2 linked regions of the Mus musculus genome follow. The protein of the gene in region 1 interacts with the protein of each later gene in a biochemical or structural test. Links are inferred from orthologs where the notes say so. Each region holds a gene or a part of one and is shown on either strand. Other genes may lie near its edges. The genes, in order: Bcl2l2 and Bik.

Region 1 (5,918 bases):
AGGTTAGAATCATAGTCTCAGCTCCCAAGTTTGATCATTCAGTCCTGAGGTGTGTTTTCAATAAACTGTCCCTGCTTGATTGAAATCAGTGTCCATGTGGTTTGTGGGCGATGCCTGTACCCCAACCAGATCTGTCTCTAAAAACAAATGGGGGTGTCCTGCAGGTGGCATCTAGAATGATCAGTTTAAGAACAAAGGAGACACGGGGACAGGTAGAACGCTAGAACTGCACAGAAGTGGAACAGGCTGTACGTTCAGAGCAAAGGACTGAGCAGGAACTCAGAACTGCTGTGGATTCCAGCTGGAACAACAGCACTGACTGCCAGAGGGAAAGGAGGTCATTCTGAGGCATTCATTGTCAAGAGTTCAAACACAGGTCAGACTGATTTAGACTGAAGTCCTCACTCCTCTCCTTGGATGTGTGGATTTGGGTAAATGGTTTAATCCTTCCAAGTCTCAGCTTCCCCTTTTCAAGGAATAAGGATCAAGCAGTCTCAGGAATGAGGTGAGAATAAAACTTATACATGTAAAGAAAGATCTGTGGCTCACACCTGCAATACCATTTGGACTGCTGGCATAGACAGATTGTGAGTTCAAGGTCAGACTGACCTACAAGGAAGAGAGAGAGAGAGAGAGAGAGAGAGAGAGAGAGAGAGAGAGAGAGAGAGAGAGAGAGAGAGAGAGAACAATCAAAACAATCAATTCCCATAATGGATTGCTACTATGATCATTGTGGCTTCTCCGGTGACCACACAGACAAGTGGGAACATCAAGGTTTAGTGGGAGAAGCAAGGGGAAGTAACAAGAAAGAACTGAAGGAAAGAAGCATAATTGGGTTGCCTCTTTCTGGCCTTAACTGGAGTTCCAGAGCTGAAGAAATGGCAACCTTCAGGAGTCCTGGGTGGGGGGAGAGGTGGGAGGATCAGCACACTGATGAGTGCCCTCCTGTGGATCTGCTGTAGTCAGAAAGCTTCTTGCCCTGGAAACTTGCTCTACAGAAAGATATTATCACATGCTGGATAGTGGTGCCTCGGGCCTTTAATCCCATAGTGTCTGAGGCAGAGGCAGGCCAATCCCTGTGAGATCGAGGCCAGCCTGCTCTATAGAAGTGAGTTCCAGGGCAGCCAGGGCTACACAGAGAAGAAACCATGTTTCAAAATACACACACACTCGGTTTTTATATATACATATTTTTACATATATATATATACATAAATGCACATATAAATAGATATATGTATATTATATATACATATATGTGTATATTATAAATATGTATATGGAATATATAAAAATATAAAAATATTTACATATACTATACTGATATACTTTATATTTATATGTATATTGATACATTTATAAATTATATATAACATATATATTTATACTTATAAACATATTTATATTGTATGTGTATATATAAAAGCACATATTTATATAAACATATGTGTATGGATAAATGTATATATAATCCATGTATATGTGAATGTAGATATTCACATGTAAATTATAGATATATGTAATCTGTAAAACAGGTATTAACCCAACATTGGTAACCTGTATTTAGAGAGGGTGTGTAAGATTAGTAAGCTTGTATCAATTTGTGCCTTTTATTGTTTGATTTTTGTTTTAAATAGTAAGAATTAACTCCTGTGGTGGGTAACAAATGAAAAGAAAATCAATCTGATTACAAAAGATGAAGATTGCTTGTGGACACTGTAAACCAAGGCCTGACACCTTGATACCTAGCTGAAACTCCAGCCAAGGAAGAGCCCACTGCATTAAAGGTCCTGAGGGGAAGTATTTTTGTGTTTAGTGTTTCTACTAGCCCCACAAGGGCAAGAGGTTGTTCCCAGCTTAATAGGAACTGCTCTGCTTTTCCTAGGCACGCAATCCAAGCTGGAAAGTTCAACAAGTGCGTGAACAGAAGAGACCTTCCGGAAATGCTGAATTTGCACTGAGCTGCTGAGGCCCGGTGTGTTTCTCTGGGGACACTGCGGGCTTCGCAGGCAGCCGGCACAGGTCACTATGGCCTCTGAACAGCCCTTCAATGGCCCTCTCTTCCTGGAGTTGTGGCTCTTCCCAGCCCTGCCTCCCAGCCCCGCCCCTCTCTCTGGACGCATCTCTGTGTCCCATCATCACCCGGCGCCGGGCCCTCCCTCCCTGCCCTCCCCTCCTCCCTCCTTCCTTCCTTCCCTTCCTCCCTTTCTCCCTCCCTCCCTCCCTCCCTCCCAGCTCCTCCACCAGGAAACAACCGGATTCCGGATCCCGGCTGCGGCCTGACCCGTGAGATTCCTTAACCTGGCTGGCGGGCGGGGTTGGAGACCAGCTAAGGGTGGGGGAATGGGAGGAGCTGGGCCTTTGGGCTGCTCTTGGGGGTACCGGGAATAGAGATGGTGTCGGCAGGAAGCCCGTGGTCCCGGGTTTCCCAAGAGGGCAGTCATTAAACACGGAATCGGTCCCACAGCTGGCAAAGCTTTGGAGGTAGGGGCCCAGTCCCAGGCGCTGCAGTTCCAGTTCTTTCCGGGCCAGACCCAGGCCTTTCCCACCTAGTTCTCTCTCCCTCCCCTTTTCAGGGCTCCACTCTAGCCGGGAGGATGAAAGGCCTCAGCTGGGGGCTCCCTGCCACCAGCACTGGGTCCTAAGAGCTGCCATCCAGGCTGGGTAAGTGTCCTCTTCCTTTCTGCCCCATTACAGCCCTTGGCTTTTCCCATCTTCCTATTCAGCCCCTGTCTCCTCCCTATCTTGTGCCTCTGCCAACATCTTCGCATCATGCTCCTGGGGAGGTCTTAAGCCCCTTCCTATAGCCAAAAAGGGGTGTGTGTGTGTGTGTGTGTGTGTGTGTGTGTGTGTGTGTGTGTGTGTGTGTGTATAGAGGTGGCATACAGCTGGTGCTGTCGTATGAAAGGAATCTGAAGTAGTCTAAAAATAAGATTTCCTGTTGCACACTTAATTTGACATGTTATACGTGGCCAGCTGCTTATGCTCTGAACCTCCCCATGACTTAAATCCGTTGCTCTTTCTTGGCCCTGCCCAGTGCCTCTGAGCATTTCACCTATCTCAGGAGCTTGATCAAATAGGAAATGTCCCTTCTTGCTCTCTGTCAATAATTTCCTTATATTTATGTCAGTCTGTCATCCTTGCCCCTTTCAGCCGCCCGGATGGCGACCCCAGCCTCAACCCCAGACACACGGGCTCTAGTGGCTGACTTTGTAGGCTATAAGCTGAGGCAGAAGGGTTATGTCTGTGGAGCTGGCCCTGGGGAAGGCCCAGCCGCCGACCCGCTGCACCAAGCCATGCGGGCTGCTGGAGACGAGTTTGAGACCCGTTTCCGCCGCACCTTCTCTGACCTGGCCGCTCAGCTACACGTGACCCCAGGCTCAGCCCAGCAACGCTTCACCCAGGTTTCCGACGAACTTTTCCAAGGGGGCCCTAACTGGGGCCGTCTTGTGGCATTCTTTGTCTTTGGGGCTGCCCTGTGTGCTGAGAGTGTCAACAAAGAAATGGAGCCTTTGGTGGGACAAGTGCAGGATTGGATGGTGGCCTACCTGGAGACACGTCTGGCTGACTGGATCCACAGCAGTGGGGGCTGGGTAAGAAGTTCTCAATTGCTGCTCTCCGCATCCCTCTACAAAGTTGGTCTTCATGGGAAAATAGGGCCTCTGATGGGAGGCTGGGGTTGTGCTGGGAAGGGCTGAGTTCCCTTATTTAAGTGGAATCAGACTGAGAGCATCAAGCTCACAGTACTCCAGGGCTACCATGTAGTAGTAGCTGGATGGGCTTCACGGTCCCAAGCAGAAGACTGAATATAGAGTTTTATAAACAGAGAACCTTCAGCGAATAATTGTGACCCCTGCGTACATAGTATGGGTGGTGAGGCCGGTCAGGGATGGGTCATGGCTAGGCAAGCCTTAGCAAAGGATGCCAGTTCTGAACGGAACTTTATTGCCATGGAAGGGATGGGGCTGACATCACGTAGACAGTGCAGAGGAGCCAGGAACGGGGTTCGGAGGGGCTTGTGTGCAGTAGAGCTTCGGCTGGAGCAGCTGGGGATGGGGGCAGTGCTCACAGTGGATGGAACTGGAACTCTTCCTTCCCTCGTCTCTCCACTATCCTTTCCTGATCTCCCTTTCTCCTTTCTCTACTTCCCTTCTCTCCCACAGGCGGAGTTCACAGCTCTATACGGGGACGGGGCCCTGGAGGAGGCACGGCGTCTGCGGGAGGGGAACTGGGCATCAGTGAGGACAGTGCTGACGGGGGCCGTGGCACTGGGGGCCCTGGTAACTGTAGGGGCCTTTTTTGCTAGCAAGTGAGAAAGTCTAGGGCCAGGTGGGGCTAGGTGTGGCTAGGGGCCAGGAGAGCTGGAACAATAGCGAATGCCCTTGGAAGAAACTGGATGGTCACGGAACAGAGAAAGGCAGGGGAAGGTAGTGTGTGTGGGAGCCCAGCATGCCAGGCAGGTGGCAGGGAGAATGAGTTGGAAACATTAAGGAATGTTTCAAGGCCAAGAACCCAGAGAGTGGAGTCATCCCACGGCTTGGGGGGTGGGGGTGGGGAGGTGGGAGGAATCATGCCCATATCGCGGGCACACAACTACCCGGAACATGGCTTGTAGCTCCAAGGACGGTGAGCTTACTTCAAAGATCTGTGTCTCGACTAGATGAATGGGATTTAGGGAGCCTAGAATTCACTTCCCTTTGGGATGGAAGCTTGGTGATCAGGTGACTGGGTGAAATGGCTGTGGCTGTGGGCTGCATGGGCACACCTGTGCATGTATGTGCACATGCAAGCATGCTCATGTGCATGCTGGGCTGTCTGTCGAATCTGGTGGTGGGGTACTTAGAGAAAACATTCCTTCTTGCTATGGCAAGAACAAGGGCCAGTTCACTGCCCTTCTCCTCTCTGCCCCTTCCCTTGACCTTACGCCTCCAGGCTGAGGGAGGAACACTGTATCTAGACTAGGGCTCTGGTGCTGCCGAGAGTTGTTGGCAGGGCTTTGGAGAGAAGAGTTCTGCAGCTGGCCTTGTTCTTCATCATCCCCCTGTTGTGTGCATCTGTGCACCTGGGCTGAAAAAGGGTAAGGCTGTGGAGCCTGGGTGGGTAGAAGCTTTGGTAGTTGGACTTGCCTGTCACCTTCCCCTCCAACGGTGGCACAATGGTGCCTAAAGTGTTGCCTGTTTCTAGGGTCTCTCTATCCAGCTGAGTCTAAATTGGGGATCTAGTTTTCCTTTAGAAGATACGGGCATAAATGCTGATCTACAATTCAGTTTAGTTCCTGAACTGTCTCAGTGAGACTGCGGATACCTTGAGAGGACCATTCCAGCTCTGAGTCCCTTGGGAGTGATGGGGACAGGTACTCCTTGACTGGCCTGTTCTGGGTGGTGGGTTTTTGGTGCTGCTGCTCTATCAGGGGCCAGGGATATGGGTTCTAGAGTACCTGCCATGACCTAACGCGTTTTCTTTTGAAGCCATGCTCTTTGCATAGGTTGTCAACACTCGAGTCTCTGAAGATGGTCACATTAGAACTCACAGTCCAGTCCCCTAGAACAAATCCAGACTCTAGCCTTTTCTTTTGAGGGAGGAAATGATTCACTCCAAATGCATGCCCTGAGCCAGACCTCACTGCTGCACTTCCCAAGGTGCTAACATTGCTGCTCTTTAATGCTGACTTCGTTCCCAGTGCTCTAGAACCCTACCTGCCTCTCCTGAGCACTGACCAGCTTGGCTAGACCACAGCTGACCCACCTCTTCACTTGGTCCTAGAATGTGGCATCATATCGTGCTTGCTAGAATGTGGGACCAAATTGGCCTCAGGTGTTTTAGTCCAGACTTTGGCTTTTGAGAGAAGGTTGCACTTTTTCATAGTGTCTATGGGGGATGTGGGAGGCTGCATGTGCCAGTTGGTCTGTTTTGAGGGT
Region 2 (5,984 bases), on another chromosome or scaffold:
ATTGTCACAACTCAGTGTTGACACTAGGTAAATCAGCTGCCCTCTCCATGCCACCCTGCGCCCTGCCCTCTCCCGCCTGCCCGGGACGCATTTGCTGACACTTTTCTCTGAGGCTTGGCTTCAGCCAACCAAGGGTAGGAGAAAGGAAGCAGCCACACATGTCCAGTCCAGACCTGCTGCTGGCTTCCTGGTGGCCACTCCCAACAAAAGCCGGGCATCGTTCGGCACTTCCTTGAAACAGCTTCCGAATTGTTCTAGGCAGAGAGCAAAACAGTGATTTCTCTGGCAGGATTCACTCAGTCAGCCGCAGAGGAAGCAAGGGTCATTAATTGTCCACAAATGTAACCAACTCACTGAAAACAGGATGCTTTCCGGGGGGTGGGGGGGATTCTGTCTGTGGCAGTGTGGCAGGACAGCTTGAAGACTCACTAGTCAATATGGCCTTCCAAATACCCCTGCCCTTCTACTAAGAGAGGTGGGAAAGGAACATAATAAGACAAGATGGCAAACTGTATGTACCCTGTGACTTTTCTTTCAAGGCAGGGTCTCCTGTTTTCTACATTGGCCTCCAACTCAATATGCAGCCAAGAATGAATGACCTTGAACTTTTGCTTCCTTCCGAGTGTTGGCCTCCACCCCTGGCATATGCGGTCCTGGGAGCTGAACCCAGGAATCTGTGTGTGTTATCCCGCCGCTCTACCAACTGAGCTACATCTCCAGTCCACAAGCTCTGGTTTCTTTGCTCTCAGCGAATCCAGCAGTGATTTCATTACTGTATATCAACCACCTTACAGTGACCAGCATGCAGGTAAGCCCTCCATCCAGAGAGAGTTCAGGCTATGATGGGCACCAGGAACCTAAAATTTGATGTTCCTTGTCTCACAGAACATGCAGGCTACGAATACATGAGATTATTTCAGACAGCCAAGGGCATAGGACAGAACAAATAATGGGTGAGATGTCAGGAAGGGTGGACATGGAGGGGTTGTCAGAGAAATGTCAACTGAGCAAAGACATCAGAAGATGAAAGGCCAGGGATGTATCACTCCGATGACCCCTTATAAACCTCCCAGTGCTACAAAAAAGGATCAACTGTGACAGGAGAGTAGCTCCATCACAGAAGGCCAGAGTAGCAAGCTACCTCCTCCCCTTTCAGCTTCTACGTTCTTCATATGCTCTGGAATGTTTGAGCCTGAGGAGGAAGTACTAGAGTTGTCTGGGCTCCTCTGGGAGGTGGACCCCATCCTCTTCCTTCCTTCTGGTGGTGTTGGGCTCTTACCTAGACCCTTTACTGAGCCTTCAGCATCCCATGCCCCAAGTAAGCCAGGCGGCCTGCTTGCTTCTTGGCCCCCTGTTGCTTAAAATACACAAAGCCCAGGGTCCCATCCCCAGATCTGGAAACAAAACAGATCTAGCTAACTTTAAAATGCTAACTAGGGTTCAGCTTAGAAGATAAGTTAAATGAGCCTGTCACCAAGTTGAAAAATGACACACTGCGTTTTCCAGCTCGGGATGAGAGCCAGCATCCTCTGGCAAAGGTGCACATTTTGAGTTAAGAAAGTTAAAAAATAAGCAATAAAGACCCATAACCCCAGGATCTCAGAGGCAGGAGAATTGAGAGTTCAAAGACAGCCTGGGCTATAAAGTGTGAGACCCTGTCTCCGAAATAGAAAAAGAGCAAAGCACAGACAACCTTTAAAACCTAACTCTGGAGGAACAACTGAGAAACAGCAGCTCTGTGACTTTGAAGGGGAGGCGCTGTAGTTAGATATGACCTGGGGGTCTCCAAAGATTGGGGTGTTGACATTTAATCCCCTTGTGAGGTATTTAAAGGGGAAACTCAACCTCACTGTGGGGTTTAGAGGCCGGACCTTTGAGAGGTGGGTAAAATGTACAATGTATGTCTTCTGCCAACAAAAGGGAGTCACCCAAGATGGCCCTCAACCCCACATGAATCACAAGCCAGAATAAATTTTACTTCTTTATAACCCAACCCAATGCACTGTATCTTATTAGCAACAGAAAGCAGACTAAAAGTCAGCACTAGGGAAGCAAACCGAAGGATTGAGAATGCGAGGCTAGCCTCTGCTACATAGTGAGGCCTTACTTAAGAAAACAATGGTAGTATACACAGAGCTGTGAGTTCCATCCCCAGCTACAAATAACCTGGATACAGTAACTATACCTGGAATCCTAGAACTCAGGTGGTGAAGGTAAGAGAATCAGGAGTTTCAAGACCATCCTCAGCTACATAGTGAGCTGGGGGCCAGCCTAGGCTACATGAAACTTTGCCTCAAAACAAAACAAAGAAAGTCTCAAATCCTGGAGTATAGAGGGGAGAAAATTGGCAGGGTGGAGTGAGAGATGTGGGGAGGGGCAAGGCTGGGAGGTCACGAGTGCCACCTGCCCTAGGCAGGACACTAGATCCAAAAGCAGCCAAGGACCCCAGGTGACCCTTAGGTGTATACTTGTAAAGGAGCAACAGTAAACATGCCCCAACCTAGTGGAAATCAAGGTAGCATTGCCGAGCTACTCAGCCACTTCTTGGGAAAGGTCCCTCCCCACCAGGCTAAACCACAACGCAGTTTACAAACTCAACAAACTGAGGTCCAGAATGGTGGAGGAGCCTGTAGAAAGCTACACAGTCAGAACAGAAAGTAGGTCACAGGTAGAGAGGTTGGTGTGGCCTCTAAGAAAGCCCTCCAGGCTTTGAAGGAGCCAGCTCTATGTAGCTGTTGGGACATAAGCCTATCTGAAATGAGGCCTGCTTCCCTGAGGTTAAAATTAAGGTTCACTGACAACTCCCCCATCCCCCAAAGTAGGTAGGAGACCAGCCTTCTTGAGAGCTGCAGCTGGCTCCAAACCCCTGTAACAGTGTTATCACCTGCATCAACGCCAACAACAATAAACAACACTTTGTAGGGGTGGTTCAGTACACTTCAGAACAGCAATTAAGTTTATAAAACAACCTGCATCCGCATCCTGAAGGCCACAAGGTGGAAAAGTGACACAAGTATTGAACCCCCAGTGCTGGTTGTGGCTGGTACACCGGCGACCTTGCCGGCCCCTCGGATGCACTCCCAGTCCCTGCGCCTGGGCGCAGGCAGGTGGCTAGGAGCTTCGGGGAAATGATGGTCTGAACTACCCAGGTCGCCTAAGAAGGCCCTTCTGCTGCCCCTCGAAGACCTATATCCCCGGGTCCCAGAGAGGACAGATGCGAAGCTGGATTCTGTCGGGAACAGGTGTGAATTACCAGGTCGCGGCAGGGACGGTGCGAATCCCAGGATCCCCGAGGGAGGGACAGATGCGAACTCTCCGGTCCTCGCGGAGACAGGTGCCGACGCCATCTTCCGCCTGCGGCCCGGGCTCAGCCTGGCCGCCCTACTGTGGCAGTGCCGCGCCCTGGTCTCAAGCTGCTCCCCCTAAGTTTTCGACAACCAGGGCACAGCGACAACGAAGGCCACTTGCTCAGCGCGCCCTAGAACCAGGACACAAGGGCCACCCCAGTGCATGGACGCACAGCGAGACACGCGGACCAGACTAGCACCTTCTGGGGTGTCAGACGCAGAGGGGACGTTTCAGAGCCGGGGCCACCGAGGGATTTGGGCACGGGTCCCCAACTTTCCAGCAACTTGGGCTAGGGCTGCAAGACGCTTACCTGCCAAGCTGAGCTGGCGTAGCGGCGGGCGAACTGCCCGAACACCCTCTCGGCTGGGACGCCGGTGGCGGAGTCGGGGGCGCTGGCTGGAGGCGGGTTATTGTGAGCGGCGGGCTGGACCCTGATAGGTGGCCGCGCCCTCCCCGTCCCGCCCCTTTAACTCCTCCCTCCGGGGCTCCAAATCCCCGGTCCCAATAAGTAGCTACAGAACCCCTGTTTTAAAGTCGTTAGCTTGCAGACATTCCTCTGTCGCCTGTAGACCTGCTACTGTGTCCCCGCCAGTGCGTCTGCGAGTGTGCTTTCCGCAGACGCCGCCTCTGCCATCGCCGCGGCCAAACCTTAGCAAGGGCTGTCTACTTGGTCCTCATAGTACTCCTAAAGGCTTGGTGCTTCTGTGGCTTCCCTTTGCTCCCGCCTGCTACAAGTTCCGCACTGCACCTCCAAATCTCCCCCTTTCCCCTCTCTCTTCTCTCCCGGTGTATAGGGAGCTCTCCCAGCCCTCCTTTTGGCGAAGACTTAGGGTGAAGGAGAGGATCGGTAGGAGGTGAAATCTAGAATTACAGGTGAAGTGGGAGGAGTTCAGTCTCCAGTGCCCTGGAGCAGGGGCTCCGAGGTGAGTAAAGATGGAGCACTGGCCGAATTACAAAGTAACCACTATCTATACAACAACAAAACTTGTTTATCCCAAGTCAGCTCCTCTCGGGATAGCAGAGGTCAGAATCTGGGGCAGGTGCCTCCTACTGCGTGCTTTGTCAAGTAGTCAGCTGGACTCTTCCCTCTCCTGTCAGGAGAGGGGTGGTGATATTTGGGGTTCCTTAAATCTTCTCCTGACACGGGAAGGCAGCCCCTCCCCCCACATGTTAGAAGGTCCTCGGCAGAATTTAATCTTAGAGGCCTTCCAATCCTGCCACTCAGATCTTTCCAGTTCTGTGGTCCTTCTGTCACCTCCAAGCCCAGAAGCAAATTGAACCCTGATCTTTGGCCATTAGCCATCAGGGATTGTCACAACCTGGAGTTGGGGGCAGGGGACCTTGAAGCCTCTCTGCCAATACATTTTGCAGATGAATTTGCAGAAAATTGAGACTGAGAGAAGAGAGGCAGTGACAAGGGGTCTCACAGTCCAGAAAGACCTGACCGGTCAGCAGATGCGTTCTGTAAACAGTAGACAAGGTGGAGGAAGGAGGCCAGTTTGAGGTCAGATGGGGACTTAGGGGCCCAGGGGAGGGGGTGAGTGAAAATATTTAGCCTGCAAGATCCCCAAGGCAACAGGCTGATCAAATGGGAGGCTAGCACAGTGACTCAATCCCTGAACGGCCTGCCGCTGGGGAGACTAGGAAGTTGGGTAGGTTCCGGGCAATATAGCAAGAATTCATTATTTGGAGGGGTTTGTTTATTTGTTCGTTTGCTTTTTCAAGACAGGGCTTCTCTGTGTAGCCCTGGCTTTTCTGGAACTCACAGAGATGTGCCAGCCCCAGCCTCCCTAGTGCTGGGTTTAAAAGCATGCACCAACCACTACTACCACCAGGCTGAGAATCCATGTCTCAAATTACAAAGAAAAACTGGGTGTGTTGATACCCCTGTCATCTCAGGTTTGGGAAGTTGAAGCCGGGAGGCCAAGGCGTTCAAGGCTACATACACAGTTTTCCAGTGAGTTCCAGGAGAGCCTGGGGTACAAGAGACCCTGTCTAAAATAAATTAAAAGAAAGAGAGACAAATGAAGGGAAATGGGGCAAAATCACTTAAATAAGAGTGCGCCTTCCTGTTAGTGCTCCATAATTGGGTCAGATGCAAGAAGTAATACAAGTGGTGACAATGGGGACCGCCACCTTCTGTCCCCAGGGCTCACATTTGCTCTTCTCTTCCCTTCTTTTGAAACATTTATTCATTCATTCTGTTGGAGAGGGGACTATGTGTGTGAAGGTCAGAAGACAACCCTCAGAGGTCAGTTTTCTCCTTCACCATGTAGATCCCGTGTTCTGTCCCTGAGCCACTAGGCTATGCACCCTGCTCCCTGAGAGGACCATACTCAGGGACTTGCCCCTTTCTTCTCTAGTGGCCTCAATCTACAGGTGCTGCTCACAGCTACCTCTGGATCCTCATAACCCCACTGCCTTCTGTGCCTGAGATCACTTGTGTCTATGATCCAGCTGACACAGACTTCAAGCCAAGTTTTGGCCTCGAGTTGTCTTTGGATCCTTTGTTTAACAAATACTGGTAGAGTCTGGTGCAGTGGCACCGGCAATCCACATTCTACAAACTGAGGCAGGAGGAATGAGAGTTTCAGCCAGCCTGGGGTACATAGTGAAACCCCCTGCCTTAAACTTGA

What was found.
Region 2: the proteins of Bcl2l2 (region 1) and Bik interact in a biophysical measurement, tested with the Homo sapiens proteins (2 studies listed by BioGRID and IntAct, with this or other methods). The link is inferred for Mus musculus from reciprocal best matches to the Homo sapiens genes BCL2L2 and BIK.

The regions. Positions count from the first base shown.
Region 1 is NC_000080.6:54,881,221-54,887,138, forward strand, and holds the start of Bcl2l2 (bcl-2-like protein 2), read left to right. Parts: upstream 1-2,204; 5' UTR 2,205-2,286; exon of another isoform or gene 2,287-2,484; intron 2,485-2,576; 5' UTR 2,577-2,664; intron 2,665-3,130; exon of another isoform or gene 3,131-3,153; 5' UTR 3,154-3,161; coding exon 3,162-3,593; intron 3,594-4,163; coding exon 4,164-4,313; 3' UTR 4,314-5,918. UniProt on the Homo sapiens protein: Promotes cell survival. Blocks dexamethasone-induced apoptosis. Mediates survival of postmitotic Sertoli cells by suppressing death-promoting activity of BAX.
Region 2 is NC_000081.6:83,524,611-83,530,594, reverse strand, and holds the start of Bik (bcl-2-interacting killer), read right to left. Parts: upstream 3,734-5,984; 5' UTR 3,659-3,733; intron 3,479-3,658; exon of another isoform or gene 3,348-3,478; coding exon of another isoform or gene 3,254-3,347; intron 255-3,253; exon of another isoform or gene 1-254.